Linked DNA regions of Pelodiscus sinensis. The protein of the gene in region 3 interacts with the protein of the main gene of each other region in a pairwise test. Links are inferred from orthologs where the notes say so. Each region holds a gene or a part of one and is shown on either strand. Other genes may lie near its edges. The genes, in order: DTNB, HYPK, TXLNA and BTF3L4.

Region 1 (7,420 bases), on a different chromosome or scaffold from region 3:
CAGCCTCACCAGCTCCCCAGCCCACTGTGAGCTCTGCTGCCTCCCTGCCCTGCCAGCTCTGGCATCCCTGCCAATTACCCAGTCTTGCCAGCTGCGGACTCTGGTGCCCTATGGGCTACACTACCCCAATCAGCCAGCTCTGGTCCAAGCTGCCAGTAACCTCTGTTCTGAGGCTCTCTAGCCCAGCAACATCTGTGGTCCAGCCGAACCAGAGAGTCCCAGATCACAAAGGTTCAACCTGTGTAATGAAAGGCTAAGATATGGCGTCAATGTAAAATAAAAACATAAATGAAAATCAAAATAAATAAGTGCTTTTTTATACTGATGAGAAGGAAGGAAATATGAACTCTTACCGACGGTTATAATCAAGGCCTGATTTACAATGAGATACATTAGAGAGACAAAATGAAGACAACAGAATTATATATTGGCACACCTGAATTATGTGGCCTTTGCCACACCCAAAACAAATTTCAGATAAAATTTGCTCTTCTCTACTGGATTACTGCAAAGCAAGTAATTTTTTGAATATGTACATTTCAGAGTACACACACAGCTACAAATGTATAATTTTCTGTCCAACATCCTGAAAGACTGTATACTATAGTAGCAGACACTAAAACCATACCATGTTTGCATAACATCTTGCCACTTGTTTTGTTCATTAATGAAAATATACTTCTCACATTGTACTTGGTTTTTAATGTAAGCAAGATATAATGAGTAAAGATTTCAAAAGAGCGCTAGGACAGATTAAATTATATCAAACATCTATAAATTTTCAAAGTGATGTTCTGAGTATTAGAATAGTAGTTTATTAATAGAGTTGATGTGACAGATCTATTTGGAGTTATGAAATGAGTTGATTGTGAGGTGTTACAGGCTTATGCAAAGATTGAATGTTTCTTTTTTTAGTTAAACTAACAATTAACAGGCAAAACAAACAACCAATGGTCTGGTAGCACTTTATAGACTAACAAAAAATATAGATGGCTGTGCCCACGAAACCTCATGATACCAGCTATACGTTTTGTTAGTCTATAAAGTGTCTATAAAGTCTATAAAGTTAGTCTACCAGACCATTTGTTGTTTTCTAAGTTTATCCTGTACAGACTAACTCGGCTACCCCCAAGTATAAAGGATGTAAGAAGTTAGCTAAAACAGTAACTCTTTAACCACTGAAAATCTTAGCAGCTACAAGCACTGTGGGCTCTGTCTTGCTCTATTCAATATGTTTCTTATTTAAGCTTTTAGGGGGCTGCACCTTTGCTCGCTACGCTCGCTTACCCGCTTTCACTTTGCTGAGAAAGCCCATTGATGCAGGTAACGTGATGACATCATTCTGTCGCCCAGCAGAAACATTCTGTCATCTGGCAGGAAAAAACTTTTTTATATAGAGAGATACTGCAGAGCCCACAACAAAGCCTCCCTGGGAGTTGGGCTTCCAGCCCCTGCCACCTCCACTCCCAGGGACACGGATGCCACAGTGAAGCTGCCTCCCTGGAAGCCAGGTGAGTTTAATAGATAGCATTAACTGATAAGCAAGGTTTGGTCCTGGTGTGATAAAAATTCTATTGACTACTTGATTACTAAAATAACCTAATTTTAGCATCCCTAACCTAAACTGCTCTTGCTGCAGATCAACGTCATTACTTCTTGCCCTACTTTCATTGGATAGGGATGATAACTGATCACTGTTCTCTTCCTAACAGTCCTTAATCCATTTGAAAATTATTACAATGCATCCCCTCAGTTCTCTTTTCTGAAGATAAAGCATGCAGAGTTTGTAAAATCTTATTTCCTAACACGTGACGTGCAGAACAGGACTCTGTACTACAGTGGAGGCACAACGAGTAGAGCAAGACAGTTAACTTCAGTGATGGACATACTACACTTGTAATCGTGAAAAAGTTGGGGAGTACTAATATATCATATTGCAGACTCATTCAACTGCTGATCCACTGTAATCCCTAGTTCCTTTTCAGCAGTATCACCATCTGTGGCCCAACTTCCCTATATCTGGGCTCTGATGTTGCCGGACCAGAGAGTCTCAGTTAAGGGAGGTACAACCGTTATTTTTCACAAGTTGATCTCTCACTTAGATGTACTTTGTATATTTACTGTGTGTTTGTCAAAAATAACATCAAATGTAAGTTACAAAAAGCTGGTTAAATAATGTAATGTATGTATCGGTTCAAGTACAGAGTCCTGTGTTCAATACCGCACAATATTAAATCAATCGTGATTACCTAGATTACACGAAAACTCTCTGGGGCAATTTCTACTTTTGACCCTAATTTCTTTTTGAATCTTTAAAAAAGTTACCTACAAAAAAAAGGGGGGGAGGGGGAATTTGCTGTTTATTTCTTTATCCTGTATAAAAGCGACCTGAGCTTTTTTTCCCCCTGTTTGCTTTTCACAGTCGGAGTCTCAGAAATGTCACAACCTAGTTTCGTTTCCGCTCTTTGCAATGGCCTCTCACAGGCGCGCTGGTGTCTAACGGGGGGGGGGGGGGGGGCTCTCCGAAAGCACCTCGGTAACAGCACTGCCGCTCCAGCGCCAATACCTGCTCACACCGGGGCACACGGCCGAGGAGCCCGCGCCCCGCGGGACACACGGGGCAGCCCACCCCCGTAGGGCCCGCTTGGCCGCTGCCGAGCACCCGCAGCAGGGACACAAAGGCGGGGAGGCGCGCGCGCTGGCGGAGCGGGGCCCGCAGCGAGCTCCCTGCCCCGAGGCGCGCCCGGGCGGAAGACCGGCAGCGGCGGCCGAGGAGAAGGGCTCGGCCCCGGGAGCCCGGCGAGCGACCCCGCACGGCGCTGGGAGAGCAGCCCCGCCCCGCCCCGCCCGGCGCACTCACTTGTCCGGGGGCGAGGCCGCTCCTGGGGAAGGCGGCGGCAGGCGGCGGCCCCGGCTCCGCTCCCGGCTCCCGAGCGCCTCCGCGCCGGCCTCGCGAGGCCTTCTCCGACCAATCCGAGGCGGCCTCCGCGCGCGCGCTCAAACCGCCCCGCGAGCCCCTCCCCCGGCCGCCTCGCGGAAGCGGTTTCGGACGAGCGAGCGCTTCAGCCAATCGGCAAACGGCTCTGTCCGGCGACTCGCGCCGCGCCCTCGCGCTTCTGCCGCCAATCAGCGAGTGCCGCTCCGCGCCGCGCCCTCGCGCTTCTGCCGCCAATCAGCGAGCGCCGCTCCGCGCCGCGCCCCCTCCCTCCGCCAACGGGCCGCTGCCTGCAGCCCCGAGCGCGCGCGCGTCGCCTCAGGTGCGCGGCCGAGCCTCCCTGGGCCCGCGGCTCCCGCCCCCCCCGCCCCGCCCCGCAGTGGAGCGGCCCGCGCTCCCCTCAGGCTCGCAACTCAGCCAGGGCACGGACGGGCTGGATGGGGCACAGGTAACGGGGGGGGGCTGGATGGGGCACAGATAGCGGGGGTGGGGCACGGGGGGGTATGGGGGGGGGTGGGGGGGTGGCGGGATGGATGGAGGCAGTTTAGGGGACAGACAACAGGTCCAGCGGAGGGCAACCAAAATGATTCGGGGTCTGGAGCACATGACCTACGAGGAGAGGCTGAGGGACTTGGGGCTGTTTAGTCTGCAGAAGCGAAGAGTGAGGGGGGATTTGAGAGCAGCCTTCAACTTCCTGAAGGGAGGTTCCAAAGAGGATGGAGAAAGGCTGTTCTCAGTAGTGACGGGTGGCAGAACAAGGAGCAATGGTCTCAAGTTGTGGTGGGAGAGGTCCAGGTTGGATATTAGGAAAAACTCTTTCCCTAGGAGGGTGGTGAAGCACTGGAATGGGTTATCTAGGGAAGTAGTGGAGTCTCCATCCCTAGAGGTGTTTAAGTGTCGGCTTGACAAACCCCTGGCCGGGTTGATTTAGTTGGGATTGGTCCTGCCTAGAGCAGGGGGCTGGACTTGCTGACCTGAGATCTCTTCTGGCTCTAGGATTATATGAACGGACAGGTGTAGGGGGGATAAAGGAGGTGTATGGGGACGGATGGATAAATAGCAGGGAGATAGATGGAGGTGTGGGGCAATGAATAGATCGAGGGGGTGTATGGGGATGGACGGATCGAGAGGGTGTGGGATGCATGGCAATGGATGGATAGCTAGAGGAGGTGTGGGGGGATAGATACATAGGGTGTGTATGAATGGACAGATAGATGCCAGTCCCATGATTTTTGAGCACTTACAGTTTGCTGTACTCTGGTTAGGCGTTGGCAGAGTTCTCTGTCAATATGCCTCAAAGCCCCTCTAATCACATGATCTCCGGCCTGGACAGGGCACCAGCAGAGGCAAGGAAGGAACATTCCCAGGAAGCAGCAACCTGAGGCAGAACCGTAAATACAGGAATGTTGGAGCATGACGACTCAATTGAGCCACAAATTCAGCAATGATAGTAAATTAGTAGAAGAGCCTTTTTTCCCCCCTTGTCTGGGCTAGAGATCATCATTATCAGTCAGTGAAGCGGACTCTTCAGCATCACCAGCTATTACTCCAGAGCAACAGCTTTACTATGGTTAATTGACAGCCACTATTTAAAATACTACTATTCTTAGCTCTACAATCCATATGGTGACCAACAGCACCTTGACATTTGTTATGCTTCACAGAGATGAAGGATAGGCTTAGTGGTTAATTTGGGGGACACTTGAGCCAGGATTTCCCAAGATACAGGGCTCCTCATCTCCTCTCCATCAGCCATTAACAAAATCGCCTGTTTCTTGTAACCTAATTTACCTGTACTTTGTGTTCAAAGTATTGGTCTGATCATCCGCACATTGGCATGTTAGAATTTACCTCAGATAGAAGACAGTACACACTATCGCTTTGGAGAAGCAATATTGGAAAAAGCTTAGGAGAATACGCCTACCTTTTTAAATGATCCCATTTTAAAAAAGAGCTACACTGAAGAAGTCTCAGAGTCTAGTAAACCATGTAATCTCCACCTTCTGAAGAGGCCAGTTGGGCATTATAGCCATACTAAGGGGAAGCAATTTAGCAGAGCATGCACTATGATTCCGAATAACTGGACAATCTAATGTCATATTTTGGTGTCTCAGGCAGACAACATTTGGTTTGCATACACATCTTGGAGTAGTTATCACTTTTTTTTGTTTCTAAATTTGACTCCTACCTAAAACATCTTACAGCCAGCACAATTTCCATTTCAGAATTAAAAATCTTGCTGTCCACAAATGTAATACATAGCACTTATTTGGTTTTTTTAAGAATCATATCTATTTAACAAAATATAGAGAGTCAGGTGATATCAAATAGAATTATTGAAAACAAAGGGTTACATATAAAACAACAAGAATCGGGACTTAATTCAAAAGCTATTCTCTTCTTAAGTTTACCTCACCCTTGGCAATCCCAGATATATCAGAGCAGTCCTTTGATCTTTATTAATAAACCATGCATCCTGCTGCTGTGTATTTTTTTCTTGACTTCAAAGTCTCATCAGTGTCTCTGCCTTGCTTAGCTGGTAACTTAGTATAGTGAGAAACAGACATGAGGCATGTCACTTTTGTGACCTGCCTTTAACCTTCAAGGCTTTAAAACATAAGTTCCAGTAGGGATACATTGCTTTTAAAATACTGTTGTTTCATACATTTCACAATAATGGTGATGACCACTGGCTATTGGCTCTCAGTAAAGACCTTATATGTCACCCTTTGGTGAACTATTCTATAGCTATTGGACTCAGGATTCCTGTCTGACATATGTGCATTTTATGTCTTCAGCCTGTTGGTGCCATGGGCTGCCTAGGTCATACCCTCTGAAGTCAAGGTATGGTAAGCCATGTGACAAGGTGGCATGCAGAGTTCCCTGGTATAACAGTGAGGACAGAAACTCAATTTACAATATCTCTTGAAGGGAATAAGATCCTTACTTATCCATGAAGTTATAATCCTGGGCTCTGAAAAATCCAAACATGCACCCTGCGAGTACTAGGGATGTAAAATCCCAGTTAATTAGTTAACCAGTTAAATGTTAGACATTTAACTGGTTAAATGACTAAAAGTGGGATCTGGGCTATAGACTGCATCAGCCCAGCTGGAGCAGCCCTGACCTTGTGGGGCTTCTGCACCCAACCCCACAATGGGGCTGCTGCCAGCTCCCAGGCTCCACTGGAGTAGGCCCTGCCTGTGGGGCACCTGGGCTACCCAATGACAGAGGCTGCTTTGAATGACAGCAGTTCCTGTCTGCAGAGGGGCTTCCTGCAGGGCTGGAGCAGCCCCCTGCCCTTGGCTGCAGCCAACACCTGTTATTGGTTAACTGGAACTGGTAAGTATCATCCATTTAGAGTAACAGAATCCCAAAGCTGGAAGAGACCTCAAGAGGTCATTGAGTCCAGCCCCCTGCCCAAAGCAGGACCAACCCTAAGTAAATCATCCCAGCCAGGACTTTGTCAAGCTGGCACTTAAAAACCTCTAGGGATGGAGATTCCACCCCCTGCCTAAGTAACCCATTCCAGTGCTTCATCACCCTCCTAGTGAAACAGTGTTTCCTAACTTCCAACCTAGACTTCTTCCACTGTAACTTGAGACCATTGCTCCTTGTTCTGCCATTTGTCACTACCGAGAACAGCCTTTCTCCATTCTCTTCGGAAGTTCCCTGCAGGAAGTTGAAGGCTGCTATCAAATCCCCCCTCACTCTTCTGCAGACTAAACAAGCCCAAATCCCTCAGCGTCTCCTCCTAGGGTTTCCCTCCACTGGACTTTCTCCAATGTGTCCACATCCTTTCTGTAACGAGGGGAGCAGGGGGGAGAACTGGATGCAATACTCCAGATGTGGCCTCCCCTGTGACAAATAAAGGGGAATAATCACTTCCCTGGGTCTGCTGGCAATGCTCCTCCTAATGCACCTCAATATGCAATTCGCCTTCTTGGCTACAAGGGCACACGGTCTCCATCTTCTCATCCACTGTAATCCCCAGGACTTTTTCTGCTGAACTGCTACTTAGCCAGTCGGTCCCCAGCCTGTAAAAATGCTTGGGATTCTTCCATTCCAAGTGCAGGACTCTGCATTTGTCCTTGTTGACCCTCATCACATTTCTTTTGGCCCAATCCTCCAATTTGTCTAGGTTACTCTGGACCCTATACCTATCCTCCAATTTATCTACCTCTCCCCCTTAGCATTATCCACAAACTTGCTGAGAGTGCAATCCATCCCCTCTTCCAGGTCATTAATAAAGATGTTGAACAAAACCAGCCCTAAAACCAGTCCTTGGGGCACTCCTCTTGAAACCAACCGCCAACCAGACATCAAGCTGTTGATCACTTCCCATTGGGCCCAACAATCTAGCCAGCTTTCTATCCACCTTACAGTCCATTATCCAATCCATACTTCCTTAACTTGCAGGCAAGAATATTGTGGGAGACTGTATCAAAAGCTGTGCTAAAGTCAAGATACATCACATCCCCTGAC
Region 2 (6,597 bases), on a different chromosome or scaffold from region 3:
ATCTTGGCAAAACAGGGAGGGTGTGGTGCGGGTGTGGCGGGGAGGGTGTGGGTAGTAAAACAAAAAAACCGCCATGTAGCACTTTATAGGCTGACAAGATGGTTTATTAGGTGATGAGCTTTCGTGGGGCAGACCCATGAAAATTCCCCATATTTCGTAGGGAATATGATCTGAGGAAGTGGGTCTGCCCCATGAAAGCTCATCACCTAATAAACCATCTTGTCAGCCTATAAAGTGCTACATGGCGGTTTTTTTGTTTTACTACCCACACCCTCCCCGCCACACCCACACCCTCCCTGCCAAACCTGTGCCACACCCATGCCCTCCCTGCCACACCCACACCCTCCCTGCCACACCTGTGCCCTCCCTGCCACACCTGCTTCGCACCCTCCCTGCCATACCTGCTCCCTCCCTGCCACACCCACACCACAGCCGCCCCTTCCCCGCCACACCTGTGTCGACTCCGTGACACCGGTGCCCTCCCCTCTGCACCCACACCCATACCCTCTGTACCACACCTTCCCCATCACACCTGCACACCCTCCCCACCACACTGGTGCCACACTACGCCCTCCCCGCTGCGCTGTCCCTGCCACACCCGCCCCGTTACAAGCTTCTGAAACCTGGCACACGTTAGCAGTCCCCTCAGGAAGCAGGGCGTAAAATCCGCTTTAGTGAGCAAACTGGTTCCATGTTACGTTTAACCAGCTAACTGATTAAAGGGCGGCAGGTGGCTGGAGCGCCCCCCCCACCACGAATTGCTGGGGGAGCCCCTGCTCCAGCCCCACGTTATCTGGCTCCGTGGAGGGGAGGCTTGCCAGTGACATGCTTAAGCAGGCACAGCCCCGCGGGAACGGACGCCCCCCCTGCCCCGGCGCGCCTGCAGCGGGAGGAAGCAGGACGGTGCTTGTGGGGTGCAGCCGCAGAGGCAGTGGCTGGGGGGACGGCTGTCCAGCACACGTCCCTAGCTAGGCCTTGCCTGGGCCCCGCTTGGGCGGAGGGACAAGGCGGGGCCAGGAGCCGGACAGAGAAACCACCCAGACACGTGCGGCTGGCAGGCCAGGGAACTTCAGTGGAGGGAGCCACCGAGCATCAGAGAGCAGGAGGGGGAACGAGTGTGTCCAATCTGTCGTGACCAGAGGGGGGCTCTTCCCACGGGCAGCCGGGGCCGGTCCAGTGTCCGGCAGGCACCAGGAGCCTGCCACCCTGGCTACTGAGAGCATCCCCACGGCAGACACTGCCCCGTAGCCCTGAGCCCCACAGCCAGGCCAGCTCGGGAGCGGAGCAGGGGGCCCGGGCCAGCCCTGGGATGGGACAAACTCGGCTGCCCTGGGGCCAGCACGGAGACCTGAGGTTTGAGCAGACCAGGAGGCTTTGCCCTGCTCAGTGGTGCCTCTCCCATGGCATCCAGGCCAGCTCCCGGCTGTTGCAGCCGCTGCCCCGCGCCCCGGCGGCGATCCGGGGCTCAGGGACGAGACCTGGAGCTGCCACAGGGCGATCGCAGTGGCTCCCGCGAGAGGCCTCGCTCTGGCTCACCTGTGCCTTCCAGCAGCTGGCCACCATCCCGCTGCAGGCCTGACGTCTCTGGCTCCCCCGTGGCGATGCCGGATGTGCTGCACCAGCCTCCTGGTCATCAGACGGGGGATGCCGGGGCCTGAGGGTTCTGCCAGCCCCTCCCTGGAGATGCCCCCACAGCTCCCTGCTCCTGAAAAGCTATCTCAAGTGGAAGCCAATTAGGCAGAGGGCTCTGATTGGCTGAATCTTGGTACTAGACCCACCCCCATGCATGATCTCCGGGCGACTCTTGTCTTTCATCGAGTGATTACACTGGGCACTAAATCAGTCCCCTTAACCCTCTTACCCCGCAGACGCAGGGATTAGCGATCCCTGGAGAGAAGCTGGGCACACGCCAGGCAGGCAGCGCGATGGCGGAAGCACCTCCAGAGCCCGCAGTGAGAGCAGAGCCTCCTCTGGCCGCCGTGTCTGTGCCTGGCCGAGCCCCTGGGACCAGGAGACAGACACAGCCCAGCCACCAGCTGGCGAGGCGGGTCCCGCCTAGCACTCGACCGATGGCTCTCTGAGCCCAGGGCCAGCAGCTGCTAAGAGTCGTCTTCACCGTGCCCGCTCCCCACTCCCCACTCCCTGTGCCTGCGGCGCCCGGCCCACACGGCCAAGGCCTGCTCGGGTCCCGGCCGCGTCAGAGGGGCGAACCTGCTTGGCATGGAAGGACACTATGGAGCGTCTCTCAGGAGTCACCGGGCTCTGGGCACGGTGCGGCTGCCCCATTGCAGACAGGCGCTAGCAGGAGAGGGGAACTTGCCCTCTGAACACAGGCCGAGGAGACTGGGCGGGCTCTAGGGAGGGGAGGCCGACAGGAAGGGCGATAAGAGTCTAAAGTGGGGGAGGCTCTCGTAACACAGCAAGGAAGGGGCCCGACGACACCGAGAGGTGGGCAGACTTCACCCGAGCCAGGAACTCCTGGCCACAGGGAATCAGCGTGGCCTGGGCCTCTCTGTGGCCAGCCAGGATATTCAGTGGCCTGGTGCAAGTGAACTCGGGCGGGGCGGGGCATGTGCTGCTCTGGGGCTTAGGCCGGTCTCCGCCATTAGGGATCCGACTGGGCCTGTGCATGGGCCGACTCTGCAGCTGCCGCCTGCAATCTGTGGCTGGGTGCTACATGGTGGCGGCGCGGGGCAGCCACAAGGGTGCTGTGCGCAAGAAAGCCCCTCCCACCAGCCCGAGCTCTGGAAGGGCAAAGAATCGCAGCAGACAGGAGGGTTCTCATCTCTAAGAAGCAGAAACAGAGACCCCCCGGCCCTAAAGGAAGTCCAGTGCGGACAGATTCTACAGCTGTTACCTCTTGGAATTAGAGACTGCACCCTTGGGTGTGTGCGTGGCCTACCTGAGCCTGTAAACAGCACGTTTCATTTCATAGTTCATAACTCCTTCCCTAGCAGAGCGCAGGGCCGGCTACCCGCGCTGCCTTTGCTGCGAGATCTGAGCACAGTGACCTGGGAGAGGAGGTGGGACTCTTGGGATTGGGAACTACCTGAATACTTGGGGATTGGGGGAACTGACCGTTCAGAACACAGGCGGGCTGCTGTGCCCAGGGGACTCTCTGGTAAGACTCTGTAGGGTGAACATTTCTGAGGCAGGCTGATATTCTGTTAAGAGCCCAATCTAAATTCAGACTCTGGGAATGGCACATGAACACAGTACATGGTTATTCCCCTTCCCCACCAGTCCAGCCCATCAACGGAAAGCCATCCCCCAGGATGGGAGGCAGGACAAGACACATTCAATGGTGCTAATGTCTCTGCTTTAATCCCCAGATGGACCGCATCCCGCAGAGATCCCTTCTTGGAGCTGACAGACATAGCACCACTTCACTGATAACTGATGTCCAGACTAACAGGCTACATCTCTATTGCTTTGTTTAAATACTTCTTGTACTGGAAACACGAGATAACTTTCTATTACTGTTCTTATCTTGCCTTACTGTTAGCATCTATCTGGGGGGGTCTGGGATCCCCCCCCCCCCCGGCACCACTTTGATCTGCCTATTGAGCATCCTATATAACTAGCTGTGACCTATTGTTCAGCAGTGTGCACTGAGCCCTGGCTCTGAATAGTCCTGGAGCCTGGACACCATATAACTCGCTGCCCATGCACCGAGGTACTCGGAGTGCCAGAACTGCACTAGAGCAAGCACTCTGGGAGGGAAGCCCTCCCCCGCACCCGCCTCCCCCCCTCCCTCGCCTCCCCTCCCCCCCCGCCTCCCCTCCCAGAGCCCTTCCCCCTCCCCCCCTCCCCCCCGCCTCCCCTCCCAGAGCCCTTCCCCCTCCCCCCCCGCACCCGCCTCCCCCCCTCCCTCGCCTCCCCTCCCAGAGCCCTTCCCCCTCCCCCCCCGCCTCCCCTCCCAGGACCCCGCCCCGCCCCCTCTCCAAGAGGCTGAGGCGGGGGGAGGAGGGGCCGCCGCGCTCACGACACTTGCCCGCGGGGTTTGTGCCGGGCCTACAAAAAGGGGGCGGGGCGGGGGGCGGGGCCGGCGATTCCCCTCCCGGACGCTCTGGGCTCACAGGCGCGTCTCGCTGGTTCCGGCGCCGCGCGCGGCCAGGTCCCGTGACCGGAAGCGGAAGCGGGGCCGGGCGCGATGGCGGCGGAGGGCGACGTGGAGCTGGAGCTGGAGACGGAGCCGAACGGGGCCGGGGGCGGCGCGGAGGGCGCGGGGGGGCGCGCGGCCGAGAAGCCCCGGAAGCACGACAGCGGCGCGGCCGACCTGGAGCGCGTCACCGACTACGCGGAGGAGAAGGAGATTCAGAGCTCCAACCTGGAGACGGTGCGGGGCGGGGCCGGGGACAGGGGGCGGGGCCTGGACAAGGGGCGGGGCCGGAACAGGGGGCGGGGCTTGGACAGGGGCGGGGCCGGAACAGGGGCGGGGCTTGGACAGGGGCGGAACAGGGGGCGAGGCCGGAACAAGGGGCGGGGCTTGGACAGGGGCGGGGCCGAGCGGGGGGCGGGGCTTGGACAGGGGCGGGGCCGGCACGGGCGGGGGCCCTGCGGGATGTTCTGGGCTCCTCCATCAAGGGTCCAGCTGTGCCTGGCTGTGCCTTCCTGAGCCGTGGCTCCCCCCCCCTTTCCCTCTTCTCCCCCAGGCCATGTCCGTGATTGGAGACCGCCGATCCCGAGAGCAGAAGGCAAGGCAAGAGAGGTAACCGCTCCCTGCACCTCTCCTGTAGAACTTAGAGAATCCTAGAACCACAGAGCTGCAGGAGACCTCAGAAGGTCAAGTCCAGCCCCCTGCTCTAGGCAGGACCAATCCCACCTAAATCAACCCGGCCAGGGCTTTGTCAAGCCGAGACTTAAACACCTCTAGGGTTGGAGACTCCACTATGTCCCTAGGGAACCCATTCCAGTGCTTCACCACCCTCTTAGGGAAATAGTTTTTCCTAATATCCAACCTGGACCTCTCCCACCTCAACTTGAGCCCATTGCTCCTTGTTCTACCATCCGTCACTACTGAGAACAGCCTCTCTCCATCCTCTTTGGAACCTCCCTTCAGGAAGTTGCAGGCTGCTATCCAATCCCCCCTCACTCTTTGCTTCTGCAGACTAAACAGACCCAAGTCCCTCAGCCTCGCCTCATAGGTCATGTGATCCAGCTCCCTAATCATTTTGGTTGCCCTCTCCAATGTGTCCACATCCTTTTTGTAATGGGTCAGCAGCCCACACCCCTGTCCTAAGCCATTTGGTCCGGTACTATGTGGCTTGGTTCTGCACATGCAGAATCTTCCTCTAAAGGCTCTGGGTAGTTTTTCTAGTTAAACTTTCTGCTTATCCATGGCCAGTCTCAATAACAGTGGCTTTGTCTCAGCAAAGAGCTACTGCAAGTGCTCTGGTTGTATTTGACAGTTGTGACTGAGCTGCTCTGCAAAGGGGAGTCTGTAAGATTGGTACTTTATCTTCTGATTCCTTTTGTCACAGGGAAAAAGAACTGGCAAAGGTTACAATCAAGAAGGAAGATTTGGAGCTGATTGTGAGTATGGCAGGAAGTGGTGCCAAGAGCGAGGCTGGGGCAGGCCAAGCCCAGATCTCAGTCAAGTTATTTACTCAGTCTCGGGGGCTCAGAATACGTGCACTGCAGCCGGAGGACAAAGGGCTGTAAAAAGTCACTTGTGTTCCTGGCGCACTGCAGTGCAGCAGAGACAGCAAATGTGTACGCTTGGTGCCAGCTTCAGTGATGCTGCAGCAGCAAGCCTTGAGCGAGGCCTGTGGTGCAGCATCTCTTCCCTTGGCTCCCTCCCTGCAGATGAACGAGATGGAGATCTCGCGGGCAGCAGCAGAGCGCAGTCTGCGGGAGCATATGGGGAACGTGGTGGAGGCTCTGATCACCCTCACCAACTAAGCACATTCCTACGGGACTGCTTGGTGCTTTGGGGAGAGAACGAGGAAAACTCTTGCTGGGACTTCAAAGTCTTTGTGCTGCCAGCCCTGTCCTGAGCACAGCCTTCGTGATAGTGGTGGGACAGCCAGATTGGTCAATGCTATGTGTTAACTTATTGAAATAAAGAGCGCGCTAATCTTCTGTGGGCAGAGTGTATAAAACAAGGCTCAACAGGCGCTGAGCTCCGTGCAAGAGCATGCAACAACTCCACCAGTTGTAGCAAGCTTGGGTCAGTCCACGGTGCACTGGTGTGCGAGCTATGGGCACTGTGTCACGAGACAAACCCCTTCAGAAGACAATGGCTGAGCTTTCAGAAAGGGAGAGCAGAGGTATCTCTTCCCACCCCTGCTGAATGGTTCTTGAGAAACTTTGTTCCCTTCCTCCCTTCCAGCGCTCTGTCTTGCTCCCAGGCTTAGGTTGAGCTAGCTTGCTAGCGCTTAAGCTGAGCCCCACTGTCTTCAGTCTCACATGGTATTGGCAGATCTTAATCCACAGGGGTGCTCTGTATATTTACACTGTGCTATGTCCTGAGTTAGCGGAAGGGGAGGTTCTGCCTTCTGCTGAGTTCCCTACTAGTGCTTCAAGGCCTCAGCAGCCCAGAGCCGCCTGCTTCGTCAGGCCCCGGGGGAGCGGCTGGTTTCAAAACAAGGTGGC
Region 3 (7,500 bases):
TGCAGGCATGGCCCTTCAAGCTCAACGCTGAAACATACCCTCATCTTTATCCTGCACCTCACTAGTCAGGCTCTCAGCATTGCCATCAGCAGATGGCTCAGAGCTGCAAGTCCTGGACTGGCTTGGGGGTTCCCCAGCTTCAGGGGGTGCTGCAGCCTCAGCTAAGTCGCCTTCGTCTAGCACCAGATTGCTGTTCATTTTGGGAAGACCAGCAGGCAGCAGGGCAGCTTTGTCTTCCCCACCTTGGTCCTTCATCATGTCTCTTCTTCCCACTCCGTCTCAAACCCTGGTGAAAGAGAAACGTCACCTGGGTTTAGTTGTAACAGGATTTTAGCAGAAGTCAGCATCCTACAACATACTCATTGCTAGGTGAAATCAACAGGGATTGAAACATTCACAACTGAGAGAACAAGGTTCTTCATTGAGCCTCTCCATCCACGGCTAGTCGTAAGACTCAGATGCTGCCTCGTACTCAATAGAAGCTTTGTTAACTCCATTCTGTTGTTGGAAAGTAAACGCACCCTTCCTCCCACATCTGTAAGCTATCCCCCTCACCATAAAGGGCTCCATGTCAGGATAGCTGTTCCTCCAGGGTGGCTAGAGACAGCTTCCTTTGGAGCCAAGCCAGTAACTCCCAAACCCACATAGAGTAAATGGCTCTGTCACCTCTGTATTCTGTAGATTACAGTCTTCTGATGGACCCACCACTCCACCCTTCACTTAATGCTTTGCTCTCAGAACATTTCATTCCATAAAACACCAGGAAATGGAGTCCAGCATTAGCCTAGAAGGGCCCCTGCAGACTGACACGAGAACTTCCCTCTCTAGTGTTGAATGCATTGCTTTTACTAAGCACACAGACTCTCCTAGCCTGGGAGGGATGGACAGAAGCCAAAATCTTGACTCAGGATCCTCAAGATAGGAGAAGGGCCAGCTTCTCTTAAAACACCAGGCTAAGAGGGAAAGCATGTAGTTTCTAGGAAGAGCTGGTAGTCAGCAACAAAAAGATTTACCAATTATCTCCATGAAACAGAACTGACACACACAGGCCAAATTCCAGCTTCTTTCCATTTCACACCCTTCCAGAAATATACTCTCTTTCATTATTTTACCCATATCCCTCATTCACCACTCAGATAACAGGAAAAGCAAATGCTGCAGCAACTCTGCAGTCTCCCATTTCAGAAACAAAATACAGGACTATGTAGCACTTTAAAGACTAACAAGATGGTTTATTAGATGATGAGCGTTCGTGGGCCAGACCCACTTCCTCAGATCAAATAGTGGAAGAAAATAGTCACAACCATATATACCAAAGGATACAATTTAAAAAAAATGAACCCATATGAAAAGGACAAATCATTAACTCACAGGCATTTACCTTCCTTTCCCCCCCCCCCCCCCCGCATCCCCCCTCTGTTCTGAAATGTGATTTGTCCTTTTCATATGGGTTCATTTTTTTGATTGTATCCTTTGGTATATATGGTTGTGACTATTTTCTTCCACTATTTGATCTGAGGACGTGGGTCTGGCCCACGAAAGCTCATCATCTAATAAACCATCTTGTTAGTCTTTAAAGTGCTATATAGTCCTGTATTTTGTTTCAGCTACACCAGACTAACACGGCTACATTTCTATCCCATTTCAGAGACACTCACAATTATGAAACAAAGGCAGCGTAGCTGTCCCAGGACAATCTGGATCCCCCACAGAATTATTTGATGAAAGAAACATTTTGTCCCAAATTTGAGCATAGCTACACACAATTAAGTCTATGCTTCTTCTCAGAGAGCAACTCAGGGCACAATCAGCTTTATGAAGCCAGGGACGGAAGTTAAAAGTAACGGGGGCCAAGGCAAGCATGTCAACTATTCTTACACAGACACCAAAATGTACTAGGAATGTGAGTGGGTAACCAGTTACCTGGGAGCAGCCCCCTCCCCCCGTAACCTGTGGCCTCCCCTGCATCTGGCAGCCCCTAGCCCAGGATCCTGCTTAGTCAGATAACCGGTTAAACATTAGGTTAACCTACCATTTAATCAGTTAACTGATTAATCTAGAATTTACACCCCTAATATGTACCTCTCTCTCACATACAGGCTTAGCAGCACTGATTTCCCACATTGCGTACAGCCCCTTTGTCAGCTCATCCCTATGAATGCTCCATCTCCCTGTGGCATCCCATGAATTGTACACATCCCTACACTGCCCAATGTGTGCTCTTGTGCTCCACCCAACTCCACAGGCTCCACTGCCTCTGCATCCTCTGCAAGTGCCAGTCCCCACAGAGCTGTGCACGATTGTCCCTATCTATCTCCTAAGCTGCTAGGTACCCATGATTCCCCACATTTCCCTGCCCTCACCTGCACTCCCACAGCACCCAGCCGTACAATACCATCTGACACTACCCAGTCACACCCCCAACTGCCTCATTCACATTCATACATCCCCTGCCCTCCCAGCCTCGTTCACACCCATGTTGCTCCCCTGCCCCAATTCACACCCCATGCCGCTCCCTTCTCCCCCTGCCCCAATTCACACCCCTATGCTGCCTCTGCCCCAATTCACACCCCTATGCTGCTCCCTCCCCGGCCCCATTCACACCCCTATGCTGCCCTTCCCCAATTCACACCCTGTGCTGCCTCTGCCCCAAGTCACACCCCTATGCTGCTCCCTCCCCGGCCCCATTCACACCCCTATGCTGCTCCCTCCCCGGCCCCATTCACACCCCTATGCTGCCCTGCCCCAATTCACACCCCGTCCCGCTCCCTCCTGCCCCTCCACCTCCCCCATTCACACCCCTATGCCCCTCCCCCCACTGCAGTGACGTCACTCACGTACCGCGTGACGTCACCGCCGAGAAGCTTGACGTGGCTCTCTCGCCTCCGCCAATCCGTAGCGCCCGCCGGCCGCACTCCGGCAGAGGGGCGAGCTCCCCTGCATGCGGTCCCCGCTCCCCGCGGCTCCTCCTCAGCGCCGAGCTCTGCGAAGGGCCCAGCGGCAGCAGCCTCCAGCCCGGGCCGCTGAGCGGGTACAGAGTGCGCATGCGCCGTCATCCGCCGGCTCCGCCAACCAATCCGCGAGCGGGGCGGCGCGGGGCCTGCCGGGAAATACCGCTGAGCGGCGGCGGTCGAGGCGGGCAGCCCGGGCGACTACAGGGCCCAGCGTGCAACGCGCCAGGGGGCGACAATCCAGCTCCCGGCGTGCAACGCGAGAAGGGCAACGCGGGGGGGGGGAAGCTGTGAGGAGGGGGCCAGGGAGGCACTAGCCCGGCAGGGGGGGGGGGGGAAGCTGTGAGGAGAGGGGGGCAGGGAGGCACTAGCCCGGGGGGGGGGAGTTTGAGGGGGGGGCAGGGAGGCACTAGCCCGGCAGGGGGGGGGAAGCTGTGAGGAGAGGGGGGCAGGGAGGCACTAGCCTGGCAGGGGGGGGGGAAGCTGTGAGGGGGCCAGGGAGGCACTAGCCCGGGGGGGGAGTTTGAGGGGGGGGCAGGGAGGCACTAGCCCGGCAGGGGGGGGGGAAGCTGTGAGGAGAGGGGGGCAGGGAGGCACTAGCCCGGGGGGAGGGGGGCCAGGGAGGCACTAGCCCTGGGGGGAGGGTTTGAGGGGGGGGGGCAGGGAGGCACTAGCCTGGCGGGGGGCGGAAGCTGTGAGGGGAGCAGGGAGGCACTAGCCCGGGGGTAAGGGGGGCCAGGGAGGCACTAGCCCTGGGGGGGGGGAGAGCTGTGAGGAGAGGGGGGCAGGGAGGCAATAGCCAGGGGGGAGGGGGAAGCTGTGAGGAGGGGGGCCCAGGGAGGCACTAGCCCCAGGGGGGGAGCTGTGAGGAGAGGGGGGCAGGGAGGCAATAGCCAGGGGGGAGGGGGAAGCTGTGAGGAGGGGGGCCAGGGAGGCACTAGCCCGGGGGGGGGGGAGAGGGGGAAGCTGTTAGGAGGGGGGCCAGGGAGGCACTAGCCCCGGGGGTGGGAGCTACTATCTCCAGGGGGAGCTGTGAGGAGAGGGGCAGAGTGTAAGGGTGTGAACAGGTAACTGGTTACCAAATAGGCAATACGCGATAAGGCTGAAGCCCACTGGCTAACAGTTAACCAGTGTCCAGGAGCAGCCTCCCGCTCGCAGGTGGGCAGCTGTTCCAGGCTCATAGGCCCACTGTGTCATGGGCTAGGCCAGCAGAGTTGGCAGCCCCACGGGCTGCTCCAGCCCAGCTGAAGTGGGCCCTCACCCAGGATCCAACTCAGTCACTTAACTGGTTTAACCAAACATTTAATTGGTTAACAGATTAAATGGGATTTTACATTCCTGCCAGGGAGGCACTAGCCAGGGTTGGGGATGGTGAAAAGAAAGCTGAGAGGAGCAACAGCTACATGCATTAGCCTAACTATTGCCATGACTTTGAACCATAGTCTCTACCCCCACCCACTTTAGGGAGCAGCAGTGGTAGCTTTCTTTTGTTGACATTTTTCACAAGTAAGAGGGCTAGTCCAAGGTAGGTGGAGGATAGCAGGGGCTAGCCTGTCACCTTAGAATTTACCTACACCCCAATATAGATTCAAGTTCCCTAAGCTGCACAGCCACTAGAGGGGCAGTCTGAGTCTGGAGCAAGAGAAGGCCAGGGCTCAAGTCAAGAAACTGGCCTAGTGGAAACAGCCCAGACGTACTCCTTTGGCCTTTTATAGCCTTAGCTACTTCACAAAGTAAGTTTGAATTACTCAAGTGGCTGTTAAGGTGTTTAGGGAATAGCTGCACCTTTCCTACAAATGGGGAACTATACCATTAGTTATGGTGGAAATCATATTCCTCACCTTTTACAGGTTGAGTCTGCAATAGTAGTAGGCTGAATTGCACACTTGGATCCCCACAAACCAAAGGAACAGGTCTGGCTGCACCATACTGCTTACTCAAGCAAAAGTAAACAAGAGGATAATAGAGGGTCACATTTTGTCTGGAGGAAGTTGTGTATCATACCCTACAGTAGAAACTCACAGTTACAAATAGCTCAGGAATGGAGGTTCATAAGTCTGAACAAAACAGGGTTGTTTTTAAAGGTTTACAACTGAACTTAATACAGCTTTGAAACTGCACTTTCCAGAAGAAAAATATTTTGACTGTCTTTCAATGAAAGTAGTTTCCTTGTCAATGTTTTTTAAAACTTTTTTTGGTAGTTCATTTAATACATGTATTTGCTTCCTCTCCCTGCTGCCTGATTGTATCTTTCCAATTCCAAATGATGTGTATGGTAGGTATGTTAAAATGCATTTGTGTAAATATGTAACTGCTGTAACTTTCAGTGGTTACATGTTAACATGCAGGGGGAGCTGTGTGTAGGCAGCAGAGTTAACTGATGAGCCTGGCCCTAACTGTGTACTTGGGTACACATTCACATCTCTAGTATATGGTTGATTTGTCTGTTCATTACTGAAGTTCTACTGGGCTCAAAGAAAACTGCAGTCCCAGCACTTAGCAAATTACAGCTAACTCATGGATTAATTACTGCTGGTCTGGGTAGTCTCCAGTATGGTCAACAGTACAGTATATGCATTGTGCTGTTCTAATTAAATCTCCCTGAGAATGAATTAAGTAGTTTAAAATGTAGGTATATTGACAGGGACCTTCTTTCTCCCTTTCCACAGTGCTGCCTACCTGCCATACACAATAGTATGGGAGACAGGCTAGTTAAAGTAGCATTTAACCTCAAACTAGCCCTGCTACCACTGATTTACAGCTAGGAGCGCTTAGACCTTTAGCTGCATCTGCAGTCCCAGCTGAGTGAAAAGGACAACGTAGAATTTGAAGACCGCTTCGATTAGTACATTTTTCTCCTCTGGAGGAAAGAGTGAAATGGGCATAATAGAATGATCCCATATAGCAGTAGATGAGGCCTGGGCTGGCACAGTTCAAATTGTGCTTGCCCAGCAAAGTGGTCTTTCCCCCATGTTGAATTTACACATTTCCAAGCAATCCACCATCAAAGCTTTTGGAGAGTTTTCCTAGCATTTAGCTATGCATTTATGAACAGAATAGTGTGTCTGCTGACAGTGGCCAATACCATCTGCCCCAGAGGGAGGAATCACAACAGGTGATCTCTCTCCTGTCACCTACCTCTAGAGAAACAGAGGCTAGGGGATATTCTTACCCATCCTGGCTAATAGCCATTGATGGACCTAACCTCCATGAATGTATCTTTTTGGGACACTGTTAAAGTCCTGGTCATCACCGCATCCTCTGGCAAGTAGTTCCACACGTTGACTGTACGGTGAGAGAAGGAAAAACTTCCATTTGTTTTAAACCTATTAATTTGATGCCCCCTAGTTCTTCTATTGTAGGAATAACTTTTCCTTATTCATGTTTCCAAACCAGTTTACCAATTTATTATATTTACCAATATATTGGGTGTAAGAGCCCAGCAAATCCATGGATATCCACTGTATAACCACAGCTATTCACATTCATGGCTGTAGCACAATATGAAAACAAGTTTTGTATCTAGAACCTTGCAAATATCTGCAGCTCATTTTTGCAATGTGGATATAAATTGCGTCCATGCAGGGCTGCCGGTGTACATGCTTTAGCACTGGGATGTTCTGTTCATATGTGAGCACCCTGCTGGTATATTTCAATGCTGCTGCTAGGATCACCCAATTGACACTAAAAATAATCCAGACAGATTTGAGCACCTAGGTCAGCTTTGGAACAGACTTTTTATTTTGCATCTTGTATCTATTACAGTGTTGGCAACTTAGATACATTTTCAAGTCAATGTGTATAGATATCTTTTATCTGTACACATCACACTAAAAGCAAGTGTGTATCCTCACAAGGCCTACCAACCCAGGTACAGCTATAATGTACCTCCAAAGGGCCACACATTGGAGAAATAGCCAGGATTGTTCAGCTTTTATGAAAGAAATGTTTGGGTTTCTTTTTTTAAAGTAGGTTGAATCACTCTTGGCTGTTGATGGGACTATAGCCTGAACTCCTGTTCCCAGATTTGAACTGGATAAACAGCTGTATACTGTTCCTCCCATTTGTGCCATGCTCACTAGTGGCTGCATAACAACCCAACCATGAACTGATTAAAGCGGTGGGGTGTTAAGGACATAGTACCAGTTCCACACCAAAGGTTTGTTTCATATGAGTTAGTGCTTAAAACAGTTACTGCAGCAGAATAAGCCTTTTAATTGCCAGTCCTAAGGCCTATAAGTTTCCTTTAAAAACCCCTTAAGTTCTTAAGGTTCCTGGATTGTTCCAAGGAGGGATCCAGAGAAGATGAGGAAAATTTACAAAATACTATTCACTCTAATAGTCTTTTATCCAGTTCACTAGTCAGACCTCTAGCTACACATATCCCTTCTCATTACACTAGTCCCAGAAGGCCAGATCTTATATTTAAGACATATTTCATTTAGTTTTGGAGTTTGCATAGACCTGTGCTGGTAAAAAAAATTAAAGAGTGTACCTTTCATTTATCCTCCCATGTATTACACAGTGAAATGGCAAGCAGGAATCCAGG
Region 4 (7,598 bases), on a different chromosome or scaffold from region 3:
TTATTACATTGCTCTCATCTGTGAATATCTGCTAACTGTTCAGAGACATCATATTAAACTCTGAAGTTTATTCTGCTTACCAATTTCTGTTCACTATGAACTACCCCACTATCCTATTTCACTTAAGCTACCAAATATTGAAATAGGAAAAGGTTCAGAAAAGGGCAACAAATATTAGGTGTATGGAACCGCTTCCATATGAGGAGAGATTATTAAGGCTGCAACTTGGAAAAGAGACAACTAAGGTGGGATATGACAGAGGCCTATAAAATCTTAACTGGTATAGAGAAAGTAGATAAAGTGTTATTTACTCCTCCTTATAACACAAGACCTCCGGGTCACCAAATGAAATAGGCAGCAGCTTTAAAACAAACAAAAGGAAGTATTTCTTCACAGAGTGCACAGTCAACCTGTGGAACTTCTTACCAAAGTATGTTCTGAAGTCTAAGACTATATCAGGGTTTTAAAAAGAAATAAATTAATTAAATTAATAAACACTTGCTGTTAGCCAGGATGGGCAATGAAGCCAATGGGGCAGAAACTAGGAATGAGTGACAGGAGATGAATCATTTGATGATCACCTGTCCAGTTCATTCCTTTTGAAGCATTTAACATTGGTCACTGTAGGAGGCCAGGTTACTGGGCTACATGAACTTTTGGTCTGACACAGTGTGTCCATTCCTACATTCTTAACCATTAGACAGTAAACGCTTTTGGATAACCAACTTTGGCCAGATGTAAAGTAGTAATCTACAAATAAAAGGTTCCATAATCTCTTGAAATCGTCACCTAGTTTCCTTGCACAAAACACTTTGATGAATTAGTATGATTTATGTGTAATCATCAGCATATTATGTTCTGCTATAATTTGTGTAACCCAAAGACCTCTCAATGTCAACTGACAAAAGGCATAAGGGTTACAGGAATACCCTACTCTGGTATTTGTATTTGAGTTCACCAGAGTGTGTCATGTGAGGTCTCTAATAAAAATCTGTGTAACACCTGTTATGAATATAAAAGCACACGTATGAATGTTGTGTAAGGAGTTATGGACATACACTGAAAATTATGTTCTTAAGGTCTACGTCTGATCACCAGCAAGAGTGAAAAACTGGTATTTTTCAGGCAAGAAATATTTCTTTTTGTGTACATTTAGGTCTGGATGGAGAATAGATCCATGAAAATGGATCATAGATGATTTCCTATTCCATTCATTTCCTCTGAAGCACCTGGCATTGGTCACTGTTGGAAGACAGGACACTGGATTAGACAGATCATTGGTCTGACCCAGTACAGTTATTCTTATGTTAAGTATTCTATGCTTCAAAATGGGTCTCCACTTTCCAGTCTGAACCAAATGCTGAAGGACTGTGATATCTTCAAAGAGAGGGAAACAATAGGAAGAGATAAATAGTGGAGGGAAGAGGTGAAGCTTATTGGCAGGTCAATATCAAAAGTTTCCTGTGGTATATTTGGGGGACAAAGCACAACCTGGCATTCTTCACCAAGGAAATAAATGACTTTGTTTTAGGAAAAAATCTCAGAAAGGCTGGGTTGAATACACCGGAGAGAATATTAGGTGAGATAATCTTGAAACTGTAAGGTAGCTTGCTAGTTAGGCTTAGTGTCTACAAAACATTTTTTGATATGTAATCATTTGTTTCCAATATTAATATTCAATCACTTGAATCTCTGTTCTTGGATAATAAACGTACTCTTGTTTTCACTATACATATATCTAACGGATGAGCATTCAGTAGAACTGCATTCTAAGGTGTAAATAGGCCTGGTAATTCCAAGAGCTCAGTGAATAAGCAGCTGAACATTACTGGGAATATTGAGAGGATTTGGGGGACAGGGTATGACTATCCCTAACTTGCAAAGAAAATGTGAGGCCTGCGGAGCCTCCAGGACAGCACTGCCAGAAACTGCGGCAGTCAAAGAGCTGACACGCACACAGACAGGATTGCCTCATGGTAAGAACAAACAATGAATATAAGCACCCCACGTGCAGCAGTGCAGAAGTAAGGGTGGCAATGCCGTAATATGCCATCCTTGTTTCTGTGCTGCTATTGGCAGTGGCTCTGCCTTCAGAGTAGGGTTCCTAGCCAGCAGCTGCTGCTCTTCAAGTGCCCAGCTCTGAAAGCAGTGCCAACACCAGCAGCACTGCAGAAGTAAGGAAAGCAGTACTGCAACCCTCCCACCCCAAAAAACTTTTTTGGGGGTCAGGACCCCTACAGCAAGGCTACGTCTACACTGCAGGATTTTTGCGCAATAACAGCCATTATTGCGCAAAAACTTGCGGACCGTCTGTACTGCACGTGAGTTCTTGCGCAAGTAAATTTACAGTAAAGCTTTGGAACAGAGGGCTTCTTGCGCAAGAGTTATTCCTCTCCCCATGAGGAATAAGCCCTCTTGCGCAAGAGCTCTTGCGCAAGAAGGCAGTGTGGACGGGCAAGGGTTTCTTGCGCAAGAAACCCCTTTGGCTAAAATGGCGTTTTCTTGCGCAAGAGGGCGTCCACACTGCCATGGACGCTCTTGTGCAAAAGCGCAGCTCTTGCGCAAAAGCTTATGGCAGTGTAGACATGCTCTTGCGCAAGGCAGTTCTTGCGCAAGAAGCCTGCATTGTAGAAGTAGCCCAACAGCATGGTGACATTTCAGATTTAAATAGCTGAAATGATGGAATATACCATTTTAAAAATCCTATTACTATTAAATTGACAAAAATTGTGAATTTGGTAGGGCCCTGCTTTTATATTGCATTATTCCAGGGATGCCAAAATGAGACCATCGGAAAGGGAAATTAAAATTATACTTGAAATTAATTGAAAGACCCCTTACAAAATGCTTCAGCACCAAAGAAAGAATTTTTAAATGTCCTTAAAACTGACTCAGAACCAACAAGACATTTTATGAATGAAAATGAAATTGGAAGTGGCCATAGAGACATGGAGTATCAAAAATAGAGTTCCGACAAAGAATAAAACTATAAAACCCCCTCCTCTTCACTCCCACAACATTAATGCATTTTCCACTGCAATTGCTCAATTTAGAGCCCAGCACCATAATATCTTGTATGTTTCAGCTTCAATTCTACCAGTAAAGCCATCATCTCCTGATCATACCTACTATGAAGCTTATAACAATAAGCACTATTACTACTTGACTGCATTATTGCAAATATTAAATGCAGTAGTAGGAGGCAGGGAAGGATCCTCCTGATTAGGGATTTATTTACTTATTTATAGCAATTATAAAGTTTAAATACAAACAAAAAGAAAAGAGATGCCTAACCCTTTCCAAGCCCTTCTCCAGCAGAGGATGTGGTAAGCACCAGGAAAATCAGACAAAGAGAGAAACTGGAGAGCGCTGCTGCTAATTGAATCTTCATGGTGTCCGCTTGGATCCTCGGCAGTACGATTATTTCTCGATGGCCACTGTCAGCAAGATCAGAACAGATAGCTTAGGGGTTTGGGTTGTGGGGTTTTTTTTTAACCCAGGAAGTGATGTTGGGCGGATGTGGGTGGTTCTTCAGAGTCCCGTTTCAGGTAGGTTAAATAAAAGGAACAGATCCTCCAAAATCTGAATGAGAGACTTGCTAAAATATTTTGGATCTATGGGTACAGTCCTGCATATTTGTTTCCAAACTGTCTACTTTCTTAACGAGATATTGCCAGGGAAGGGGGACATTTACATTCATCTGGACTTGAAAGGAGGAGCTCAACCGAGTCACGGACACAAATTGGTTCTACTGCACCAGCCCCTCGCGAGGGGTAGTAATAACAAGTCCAGAATTTGGCTAAAGCAGTAATTGTTATTACCGGAATGATTTAATGTTTAACTAATCCGGTGCACGTACGTCCTGGAGGACTGACTGAGAGCGGGTCCACATTGATTGGTTGCTCTTCAGTCCCGGTGAGCATGGGGTGGAGTGTTCATACATCACTATGCTCAAAGTAATCTTCAGGGTTCTCTATATTCGCACCTACCTGTTTGCAAACTGAGAAAGTAAAAGCTGGAATGATGCAGATCTTAAGTTATATTTTTACAATCTTTGGAATTATTCCATTTAAAACTCCTGGCTCTTAAAATGTCTCAATGTAAAAATCTTGATCAGCCAGCCTTTGACCCCTTAAGAAGTATCCCAACATGCTAATTTTGGGTAATTAGCCCCTGGACTCTTCGGAGGAAATGCTACATGGCTTTACGACCCTGCTTTCACTTTACCCGTTGCAGTCCTCGGCGCTGTCCCATTGCAAATACCACGGCTTTTATTTTTTGCAAAAAAAAAACCACCCCAAAGAAATCCAAAATCCCAGAGGAAGCACGCACTGCGCTGCAGAAATCCTCCTCCTGCCTAGACGAGAGCAGTAAGGAAGGGCACGGATGGTACTAAGGCGGGGCCCAAAAACCACCTCCGCTCCTAGGGAGACTACAATTCCCAGAATGCTCTACCTCGACGGGACTCAAGAGTCCTCCTATGCGCCTGGCATGCTGGGACTTGTAGTTTCTCTCTGCGGATTGGGCGTGCCGAAACGAAAGGGAAGAGGAAGGAGCCGATTTCAACTTTCCATGTTATGCAAATAGCTCCGTGTCCCTTCCAATCGGAGGGGGAGTGGGCGGGGCTCACAGTCCCGTGGTCCGCGGCCTCCTTTCTCTGTGCCCCTCTCTTTCCCTGCTTGGGGCGGCCGCCATCTTGTTCTCACCGCGTGTTGGCTGCGGAGGGTTTGCCGGACTCAGGTGAGAACTTTCTGTTGTCCTTCCCCCCCCCTCCCGTTGTTCTTTAGCCCCCCCCCCGGATTAGCCGCCCCCCCCCGCTACGCGGCTTCGCGCGCCTCGGTCGGCGGGAGGGGCGGCCGGTGCCCTGAGGGGCATGGGCCTGCCCGCTGCCTGAAGGCTGCTCGGCTTGTTCGGCGGAGCCTCGCCCCCTCCCCTCAGGGCTGGCGATGGGGGGCGCCCCGGGGCAGGGACCTTTCCCTCCCTTAGCGCTGGAGATGGGGGAGGGGCCGTCTCCCCGACCGTAGACCCCGGGGGCGGCGGGGTTGGCTGTTGGCAGGGCCCCCTGCCCGGGGCTGGGATGGGGGAAGAGCGAGCGATAATCGCTTCCCACCTCGCGCGGGCTGGGTATGGTGGGGGGAAGGGGGGGCCTCTCCCTTTGGGCTCCGACCACTTTTCTAGCTCCCCGGGGCTGGATTTTGTCCCTCCCCCTTTTCAGGGGCGTACGCCCCGTCGCTTCAGGTATCCGGGGCAATATTGTGGGGGGGTCTCTCTTATGTTCCTCCTCCTGCTGAAAACGATGGGGAATTTTCTCCTGTAAAAAAATGAACCTCCTTTCTCCCACCTTTGTAGGGGCTGCCCCACAAAATCCAGCCCTAGTTTCAAGATGCATCCACATGGGAACTCTTGTTAATGCATTAGGAGGCTCTGCGCTCTCTTCTCATAATAGCACCACCACCACCCGAGCCTAGCACCTTCCTTTTATTGCCAAGTATGGAAGTTGTGGAGGGGGGGGGGGTGTCTCTCTGCCAAACAGTGAAATTAATGCTTTCCTGGGGCAGAGCAGCTAAATGCCTCCTAAAAGAACTGTAAACAGAAAGTGTTGCATGCTGCTTCTTGGTCATGTTGGTTTTGGTTTTAAGGAAAGCCAGTAATCACGTCTTCTTATACAGTGGGCACGCTTTTTAACTTCATAATGGATGAGTTGAATATTGTATGTAGCTCTGTAGTCCGTGAAGGATATTGAGACAGTGGTATTTACATAGACTGTATGATAAAACTTATGCATTCAAAAATGTAGTGAGCTATTATACAGCTGTTTGAGATTAATCATGGAAATGGCAATGAAAGCTTTTCAAGTAGTTTATGGAAGACTTCCTTTTCCAATGTCACCTTGCCACTTTTACTGTAATGAAGTGCAGTAGTTTGAGATATTGCTGCTGTGAAATGCATGCTGTTTTGGAAAGTAAATTGAGTTGCTTGTCATTCACCTGTTAGAGGGGTTAGGGAGACACAGACTGATGGGATGGTAAACAAGTATTAAAATTAGGATATGCTAACTGTAACTTAAATTGACATGAAATTTAAACATATTTGCTTTTGTGTGCTATATCATTTAGATGATACAGCTTATATATATGGCTTATCTTTTGTTCTTGTTAGCAAATTTTTTTGCTTGTTACTTATGATATTGATGTAAAGAGCATGACCATTTTTATTAAAAAATAAAAGCAGTGTCACACAAAATTGAGCTTATTTGTGTAATAAACTTGTAATTTAACATTAGGCTAATATGATTGATATACTTATTTTTCAGACAGCATCATGAATCAAGAAAAACTAGCTAAGCTTCAAGCTCAGGTCCGAATAGGAGGAAAGGTAAGAGGAAAACAACATCAAATTTATAGAGGCACCTACCATGTCTTGTTTTCATTGTATATTTTAGAGGTCTGAAATAATATGTTATGATCAGGATCATAGCACTTTTTTTTTTTTTAATCCAAAACAGTTGGTTGCCAATATATGGAAAATTTATATGTTGATTTAACCATTTACATGCACAAGTTTAGTTCTTAAGTGTGGAAGGTTGTTTGTAGAAGCTTGTAGCGTGAAATATGAATAATACATTTTTCCATATTTGTAAGATTTGCTTAAATTTAAATTACTTGATTAATTGTCTTTTTGGCAGAATGTATTTTGTGCCTTTCTTAAAATAACTTTTGGAAAATAAGGAAGAGAAAGAAGGAAAGTGTACCTATTTCCTCTTATTGAGAACTTGTAGTAAAATACTTTTGTATTTTAAATAAGCCAGTGTAACTTTTAAATTCATATCAAGATGTTCAATATAATACCCATTGACTTAGTTTTTTAAAAAAAATCCTGAAACCAACATTTCCAGGTAAAGACTACTAAACAAAATTTTAAAAAATCATAACCTGAAAAGAACTTTGGGCCATAAAACTTTTGTGTACTGTAGAGAGGATAAGAGATGGAGGAGCATCATGTGATTTAAAATTTGTGGAATAGTGTATCTTTTGGGAGAGAATTGTTCATCTCTGTTTTGTTTGCTTTTGAACCTTAAAAAAGTGAGCCTGGTTGTCAGCCCAGGCCTGATAATTATCAGAGTGGCTTTGACAATAAAAGTGCAGCACTCAGCAACTCCCTTTTGTTGAAACTAGTTGATATTAGTACATGTGACTGCAGTGTCAGATCTTCAGAGTTGCTGACTAATGTTTCTTTCATTGTCTGATTTTCAGGGTACTGCTCGCAGAAAGAAGAAGGTGGTGCACAGGACAGCAACAGCTGATGATAAAAAACTTCAGAGTTCACTCAAAAAGTTAGCAGTAAACAATATTGCTGGCATTGAAGAGGTATAGTGGTATAATTATTTGCCCTGTCAATATTGTTCATTTTAAAAATAAATTGACATCTGGCTAGATGCTGAAGTGCTAAGAAAAGTTGGGTCTGATCTCCCGGACTTCAGTGAAACTAGTCTTGATTTACATAATTAGTGTAAAGGATAGCAGAATATACACTAGAAATGTTAAAATGCATGTTGAAATGCATGCTTATTGGATAGTTGACTGGTGGCTTACATCCCT

What was found.
Region 1: the proteins of TXLNA (region 3) and DTNB interact in binary tests that used the Homo sapiens proteins (3 or more experiments, as listed by UniProt). The two-hybrid records come from large-scale screens. The link is inferred for Pelodiscus sinensis from reciprocal best matches to the Homo sapiens genes TXLNA and DTNB.
Region 2: the proteins of TXLNA (region 3) and HYPK interact in binary tests that used the Homo sapiens proteins (3 or more experiments, as listed by UniProt). The two-hybrid records come from large-scale screens. The link is inferred for Pelodiscus sinensis from reciprocal best matches to the Homo sapiens genes TXLNA and HYPK.
Region 4: the proteins of TXLNA (region 3) and BTF3L4 interact in binary tests that used the Homo sapiens proteins (3 or more experiments, as listed by UniProt). The two-hybrid records come from large-scale screens. The link is inferred for Pelodiscus sinensis from reciprocal best matches to the Homo sapiens genes TXLNA and BTF3L4.

What each region holds. Positions count from the first base shown.
Region 1 is NC_134713.1:429,495-436,914, reverse strand, and holds the start of DTNB (dystrobrevin beta), read right to left. Parts: upstream 3,015-7,420; 5' UTR 2,861-3,014; intron 1,371-2,860; exon of another isoform or gene 1,288-1,370; intron 1-1,287.
Region 2 is NW_027466027.1:114,080-120,676, forward strand, and holds HYPK (huntingtin-interacting protein K), read left to right. Parts: upstream 1-4,061; 5' UTR 4,062-4,153; coding exon 4,154-4,339; intron 4,340-4,655; coding exon 4,656-4,711; intron 4,712-5,483; coding exon 5,484-5,535; intron 5,536-5,808; coding exon 5,809-5,904; 3' UTR 5,905-6,084; downstream 6,085-6,597. Other genes in the region: SERINC4 (serine incorporator 4), read right to left, coding at 1,537-1,563. UniProt on the Homo sapiens protein: Component of several N-terminal acetyltransferase complexes. Inhibits the N-terminal acetylation activity of the N-terminal acetyltransferase NAA10-NAA15 complex (also called the NatA complex).
Region 3 is NC_134735.1:3,556,545-3,564,044, reverse strand, and holds the start of TXLNA (alpha-taxilin), read right to left. Parts: upstream 3,002-7,500; 5' UTR 2,842-3,001; intron 287-2,841; 5' UTR 259-286; coding exon 39-258; intron 1-38. UniProt on the Homo sapiens protein: May be involved in intracellular vesicle traffic and potentially in calcium-dependent exocytosis in neuroendocrine cells.
Region 4 is NC_134719.1:9,174,642-9,182,239, forward strand, and holds the start of BTF3L4 (transcription factor BTF3 homolog 4), read left to right. Parts: upstream 1-4,596; 5' UTR 4,597-4,740; intron 4,741-6,313; 5' UTR 6,314-6,321; coding exon 6,322-6,375; intron 6,376-7,253; coding exon 7,254-7,367; intron 7,368-7,598. Other genes in the region: TXNDC12 (thioredoxin domain-containing protein 12 precursor), read right to left, coding at 3,295-3,391.